2 linked regions of the Anolis sagrei genome follow. The protein of the gene in region 1 interacts with the protein of each later gene in a pairwise test. Links are inferred from orthologs where the notes say so. Each region holds a gene or a part of one and is shown in the gene's direction. Other genes may lie near its edges.

Region 1 (3,747 bases):
TCTTGTAAGCCGCACCGAGTCCTCCGGGAGATGGTAGCGGGGTATATATTATTATTATTATTATTCCATCTGCCTCCCCTCTTCTTTTCTCTCCAGTTGGTTCAGTCCTGACTGACTACTGCATTACCCCATTATCCAACCCCCCCCCCCCTTAATAGCACCGCTCTCCAACTCCAGAGCAGTATTTTATTTATTTATTTGTCGTCTCAGGGCAACCAGTCAATTGTATTACATTTCTAACAGAACAAAACAAAACAAAACCAAAAAAAAAAAAAAACAGATAAAACACAAAATTTGGTAGTTCATTAAATGTCTTTTGACCAGTATCTGGTCACTTGGAGTGCCTCTGGTGTTGCTGCAAGGAGGTCCTCAATTGTGCATGTAGCAGAGCTCAGGTTGCATTGCAGCAGGTGGTCAGTGGTTTGCTCTTCTCTACACTCGCATGTTGTGGATTCCACTTTGTAACCCCATTTCCTAAGATTGGCTCTGCATCTTGTGGTGCCAGAGCAGTCTGTTCAGCACCTTCCAAGTCATCCAGTTTTCTGTGTGCCCACAGGGAAGTTTCTTGTTTAGTATTTATTTATTATTTTATTTAGCAATTTTGTATACCGGTCTTCTCCCCTCTATTGGGGGACTCGGGCCAGTTTCCAACAATAAAATCACAAAACAATAATTAAAAACATCATATATCAGCCATTGATTGAGGTTCTGGGTTTGAGCCTGCCACTTTTGGACTCTTGCTTGCTGAGGTGTTCCAGTGAGTGTCTCTGTAGATCTTAGAAAACTATTTCTTGATTTAAGTCAAATTTAGATTGAATGCTTCAGTCTCATTCCATATACCTCCCCTCTTCTTTTCTTACCAGTTGGTTCAGTCCTGACTACTACATTACCCCATTACCCAACCCCCCCTTAATAGCATTGGTTCAGCCCTGGATTGCTCTCCAACTCCAGAACTAAATTGCTGGGCGCTTTTGACAAAAGTTTCCCATCATCTGGCCTGTACCCGGCGTAGGCTTCTGCGCATGCGCTTCCTCCCATTTCTCCGTCATAGCCCCGCCTCTAGCTCTTCTCTCTCCTCTCTCTCTCCCCCCCCCCCTTTCCCTTTTCCATCTCAGGCTGTCTCGCGCCTCCTCCTCCTCCTCCCTTCTTTGCTCGACGGTTGGGGTGCACGCGCATGCGCGCCACCGCGAGGGGCGCGAGCTCTCCTCTTCCTCCTCCTCCTCTTCCTTCTCCTTCTTCCCTGTGAGGAGACCCTCTAATGCCGCCTCCTCCTCCTCCTCTTCTTCTTCTTCCTCCTCCTCTGTGAGATGGCATCCTTTGGTGTCTGCGCCGGGGCGGCGGCAGTAGTCGTAGTCGTGGTCGTGCCGGCGGTGAGGAGCGGGGCCGAAGGCTGAAGGGACGGAGGCAGCCTCAAAACCACCCCCAGCGCCACCCTCGGCACCAAGCAGCTGGGCTCCGAGCCACGGTAAGGAAGGAAGAGAGGCTGAGGCAGGGAGCGAGGGAGCGAGGGAGGGAGGGCCTGACAGACACATAAACAGCCTGCGCTGGCTCGCTCTTGGCCTGGCCGAGGAGGGAAAGGGAAAGGCGGAGGGGGCCTGCTGCCTGCTGCCTGGGAGGGGGGGAAAGCGAGGAAGGAGTCACGTTCATTTGGGGAGGGGGGGGGAGAGGGAGGAAAGAAGCTCTTCTCGTCCCTTTACAACTTCGCACCCCCGCCTTTTCCAGTAGAAATGGAGCCCCTCCTGCCCTCCTTTTCCCCAGCTGGTGGGCAAGGGGTGCCTCTCGCTCCCTCCAGCTCCCTTCCTCGCTCTGTGTCACCTTGAGTTCCTCTCCTATACTGTAGAATTAATGCACTCTTCACTATGGAGTCTTTTGAGCTGTCGTTTTCCAAGCAAGGCCTCTCGAGTTCTCTGAGTGCTGCTGCCTCCTCAAAACTACAAATCCCAGGATTACATAGCGCTGAGCTAGGGCAGTAAAACGGAAGTCTTACCGTGTAGATACAGGCATGGGCAAACTTCGGCCCTCCAGGTGTTTTGGACTTCAACTCAATACAGTTCATGCACCTCCAGAGTTTCCTGAGGCAGTCCCTTAAAATCTTTATAATACATAGTGGTTTTTGAGCCCCCCCCTCCCAACCCCACCCCCCAAATCTCATGACACACAGGAGTTTGTAAACACGTATTGCCTTTATAACAGACATGGGCAAACTTTGGCCCTCCAAGTGTTTTGGACTTCAACTCAACTCAATTCATACAACCTCCAGAGTTTCCCGAAGCAGTCCATTAAAATCTTTATAATACACAGTGGTTTTTGAGCCCACCCCCAAATTTCATGACACATAGGAGTTGGTAAACATCTATTGCCTTTATAACAGGCATGGGCAGACTTTGGCCCTCCAGGTGTTTTGGTCTCCAACTCCTACAATTCATGCACCTCCAGAGTTTCCCAAGGCAGCCCATTAAAATCTTTATAATACATAGTGGTTTTTGAGCCCCCCCCCCCAAGAAAAAAACCCAAATCTCATGACACACAGAAGTTTGTAAACACCTATTGCCTTTATAACAGGCTTGAGCAAACTTCGGTCCTCCAGTTGTTTTGGACTTCAACTCAACACAGTTCATGTACCTCTAGAGTTTCCCGAGGCAGTCCATTAAAATCATTATAATACATAGTGGTGTTTGACCCCCGAACCCCATGACACACAGGAGTTTGTAAACACCTATTGCCTTTATAACAAGCATGGACAAACTTCAGCCCTCCAGATATTTTGGACTTCAACTCCCACAATTCGTGCACCTCCAGAACTTCCCGAGGCAGCCCATTAAAATCTTTATAATACATAGTGGCTATTGAGCCCCCCCCCCCAAAAAAACAAACAACCCCTGAATGTCATGACACACAGGAGTTTGTAAACACCTATTGCCTTTATAACAGTCTTTGGCAAACTTCGGTCCTCCAAGTGTTTTGGACTTCAACTCCCACAATTCATGCACCTCCAGAGTTTCCCAAGGCAGCCCATTAAAATCTTTATAATACATAGTGGTTTTGACCCCCCCCCCCAAAGAAAACCCCCAAATCTCATGACACACAGTAGTTTGTAAACATCTATTGCCTTTATAACAGGCTTGGGCAAACTTCAGCCCTCCAGATGTTTTGGACTTCAACTCAACACAATTCATACAACCTCCAGAGGCAGTCCATTAAAATCTTTATAATACATAGTGGTTTTTGAGCCCCCCCTCCCAAATAAAAACACCCCAAATGTCATGACACACAGGCGTTTGTAAACACGTATTGCCTTTATAACAGGCATGGGCAAACTTTGGCCCTCCAAGTGTTTTGGACTTCAACTCAACGCAATTCATACAACCTCCAGAGTTTCCCGGGGCAGTCCATTAAAATCTTTATAATACATCGTGGTTTTTGAGCCCCCCCCCCAACTCCCCCCCCCCCCAAATTTCATGACACATAGGAGTTTGTAAACATCTATTGCCTTTATAGCAGGCTTTGGCAAACTTCAGTCCTCCAAGTGTTTTGGACTTCAACTCAACACAATTCATGCACCTCTAGAGTTTCCCGAGGCAGTCCATTAAAATCTTTATAATACAGTGTGGTTTTTGAGCGCCCCCCCCCCAAAAAAGAAAAACCCCAAATCTCATGACACACAGGCGTTTGTAAACACCTATTGCCTTTATAACAGGCTTGGGCAAACTTCAGCCCTCCAGATGTTTTGGACTTCAACTCCCACAA
Region 2 (3,747 bases), on another chromosome or scaffold:
CTACAAGAAGCACTGCCTGAACATCAAGCAAAAAGTGGGTGCTAGAAACAATATCATACGGAAGCTGACTGGCACAACCTGGGGATCACAACCAGACACAGTGAAGACATCTGCCCTTGCGCTGTGCTACTCTGCTGTTGAGTATGCATGCCCAGTGTGGAACAGATCTCACCACGCTAAAACAGTGGATGTGGCTCTGAATGAGACATGCCGCATTATCACGGGGTGTCTGCGCCCTACACCACTGGAGAAATTACACTGTTTAGCCGGTATTGCACCACCTGACATCTGCCGGGAAGTAGCAGCCAATAGTGAAAGGACCAAGGCAGAGACATCTCCAGCTCATCCCGTTTGGGTATCAGCCAGCATGTCAACGATTTAAATCAAGAAATAGTTTTCTAAGATCTACAGAGACACCTCAGCAAAGGAGAGTCCAAAAGTGGCAGGCTCAAACCCAGAACCTCAACCAATGGCTGATACCAAATGAGAGACTCCCCTCTGGGCACACAGAAAACTGGGCGACTTGGAAGGCATTGAACAGACTGCGCTCTGGCACTACAAGATGCAGAGCCAACCTCAAGAAATGGGGCCACAAAGTGGAATCCATGACATGCGAGTGCGCAGAAGAGCAAACCACAAACTACCTACTGCAATGCAACCTGAGCCCTGCCACATGCACAATGGAGGACCTTCTTGCAGCAACACCAGAGGAACCCCAAGTGCTCAAAGGACATTTAATCAACTACCAAACTTGCAAATTATGTGTTTTGTCTGTTTGTTTTGTTCTGTTAGAAATGTAATACAATTGACTGGTTGCCCTGACACGACAAATAAATAAACTCTGGCCCAGAGCGGCCACAGGCCTTTAGCTTCCTCTGTCAAAGGCGGCTGGAGCCTTGTCAAAGACAACCCCTAGGTTTCCATCCGTACCATTGAGGCATAGCAGTTACAAGGGTTATCAAACGCCATTCAATCTGCAGTGCACTGAGAGAGAGGGGCGGGTTAGAACCAAAGGCCACCAATGGCGCCCTTTCCTTCCTAACTGCGCGCGCGCTTCCCAACGGAGGGGGGAGGAGGGGGGAGAGATTTGCCTCAAGGGGCGTGGCTACACGCGGGGTTCGATTCAGAGCGAGCTGCGCGAGGGAAAGAAGGAGGGGGCACATAAAGAGCGGAGTACTCCAAGGCCTGCCTTAGCGGAAGCTGCTGTGTTCGCTCCCGGAAGTGACGCGGAGCCCCTCCAAGCGCCCCCCTCCCTCTCGCTCGCTTGCGGCAGCTGTGGTGTCGGGCGAGCGGGCGGGTCTGGCGGCTGCAGGAGCGGCGGCGCAGGGCGGGCGGGGGGAAGGAGGAGGAGGAGGAGGTGGCGGCGGAATATGGCGGACGGCGTGGACCACATAGATATCTACGCCGACGTAGGAGAGGAGTTTAACCAGGTAAGGCGGCTTGGGGCGCTGCTAGGCCGCGCGGGCTCAGGCGGAGCGGAGGCCTCTTTGCCGCCATTGGGCGCCATTCCTGCCGCTGCCTGTGAAGAGGGCCTGAGGGGGAGAGCGCGCGGGAGGGGGCGCGGCCTAGCGTGGAGGGAGGGAGGGAGGCCCTGCGCGGCCTGCCAGGAACAACAATGGGGCCCGGCGCGGCTCGCTCGCTTTCTCTCGGCCCCCTTTCTCTCCTCCTTTGTCGTCGAATCCACTGCCTTGCCTGGCTTGTTGTGGCCCGCTCCCCCGGGGCAAAGGCAGGCAGCAACACAACACCTCTCTCTCTCCAAACGAGGCCTCTCCAGAGGATGGAGGAGCGTTTCTCGGGGCCCCGCCGGGAGTGTGTGAAACGGCTTCCCGTAAAAGGTGGCTGTTTAGGGCAGGGCTGCTTCAATTTTACCCATGCACGACCCCTTTTCTCCCGAGAAATTAAATACGTGACCAAGGTACATAAATAATAAAATCTATAAAAATAAAAATGTAATGTTCGTTCGTAACTCAAAAACCACAGGACGGATTGACACCAAATTTGTACACAATATACTTATCAGGCCAACGAGTGATCATCACCGATAAAACACAGCAAGCTAGACTTAAAAACAAAAAATACATTTCAAGGCATGCACAAAACCACACACACACACATATATACACACACAACACACATAAACACAGACTGGGCCACAGCAACGCGTGGCGGGGATGGCTAGTCTATATAAATAAAAATGTAATGTTCGTTTGTGGGATTGACATAACTCAAAAACCACAGGACAGATTGACACCAAATTTGGACACAATATACTTATCAGGCCAACGAGTGATCATCACCGATAAAACACAGCAAGCTAGACTTAAAAACAAAAAATACATTACAAGGCATGCGCAAAACTAAACACACATATATGCAAGCAGACATATACAAATATGCGCATACATATAAACATATATACACACACAACACACGTAAACACAGACTGGGCCACAGCAACGCGTGGCAGGGGGTGGCTAGTCTATATAAATAAAAATGTAATGTTCATTTGTGGGATTAACAGAACTCAAAAACCACTGGACGAATTGACACCAGATTTGGACACAATACACCTATGAGGCCAACGAGTGACCATTACTCTTAAAACCATTGAGAAACATAGCAGATAAGACTGTAAAAGCCAAAAAAACCCAAAAAATACATTACAGCGCATGCGGAAAACCACGTAGAATCATAGAGTTGGAAGAGATCTCATGGGCCTTCCAGTCCAACCTCCTGCCAAGAAGCAGGAATATTGCATTCAAAGCACCCCTGACAGATGGCCATCTAGCCTCTGTTTATATACACACACATATGCATATATATACACACAAAACACGTACACAGAAAGGAGGAAGGAACGAAGGAAAGAAAGAAAGGTAGAGAAGGAATGAAGGAGAGAAGGAAATAAAAAAGTGAAAGAAGGAAGGAAAGAGAGGGAAGAAAGGACAGAAGGAAGGAACCAGACAAGGAAGGATGGAACCAAAGAGCAAAGGCCGTGAGGAAAGAAACAGGTAGAGAAGGAAGAAAGAAGAAGGGAAGGAGAGAAAGAGGGAGGGAAGATTGGCCACAGCAACATGTAGCGGATACAGCTAGTAAGTATTAAAAATCAAAGATTTTACAGATAAAATCAGCATTCTCAAGGCATGCTAAACGGGCTGATGTTCCTGTTTAGGAAGTACAGCAGAAGCATTTTCTGTAAACATGGCTCGTTATTGCTAACATTTAAGTAAATAAATGGCATTTACACAATATTTTACTGTTGCCTCTTTTTTGTGACTCCAACATTGAGCTAAATCTGTGGTTTTGAATTATGACAATTGTAATGTTGTCTTATGGAGATAACTACCAGCCAATATCCTAGTAATTGTTAAGTGAACACTTACTACAGTAGAGTCTCGCTTATCCAACATAAACAGGCCGGCAGAACGTTGGATAAGCAGAGATATTGGATAATAAGCAGGGATGAAGGAAAAACCTATTAAATGTCAAATTACATTACAATTTTACAAGCACCAAAAAAAATGTTTTTCCAAAAATCAACAGAAAAAGCAGTTCAGTACACAGTAATGTTATGTCATAATTACTGTATTTATGAATTTAGCACCAAAACAGACAAGGATTCTTTATTTCTCCCACCCTGGATATTATTCCGGGCGGGAGGCAGACTGCATTGGATAATACAAAATGTTGGATGAGCAAAGGTTGGATAACCGAGGCATTACTGTATTTCCCTCTTAAAGTAGAGGT

Evidence for each region. The genes of interacting proteins can lie anywhere in the genome.
Region 2: the proteins of WWP1 (region 1) and CPSF6 interact in binary tests that used the Homo sapiens proteins (3 or more experiments, as listed by UniProt). The link is inferred for Anolis sagrei from reciprocal best matches to the Homo sapiens genes WWP1 and CPSF6.

The regions. Positions count from the first base shown.
Region 1 is NC_090024.1:37,387,795-37,391,541, reverse strand, and holds the start of WWP1 (NEDD4-like E3 ubiquitin-protein ligase WWP1), read left to right. Parts: upstream 1-1,094; 5' UTR 1,095-1,465; intron 1,466-3,747. UniProt on the Homo sapiens protein: E3 ubiquitin-protein ligase which accepts ubiquitin from an E2 ubiquitin-conjugating enzyme in the form of a thioester and then directly transfers the ubiquitin to targeted substrates.
Region 2 is NC_090025.1:143,241,742-143,245,488, forward strand, and holds the start of CPSF6 (cleavage and polyadenylation specificity factor subunit 6), read left to right. Parts: upstream 1-1,316; 5' UTR 1,317-1,370; coding exon 1,371-1,430; intron 1,431-3,747. UniProt on the Homo sapiens protein: Component of the cleavage factor Im (CFIm) complex that functions as an activator of the pre-mRNA 3'-end cleavage and polyadenylation processing required for the maturation of pre-mRNA into functional mRNAs.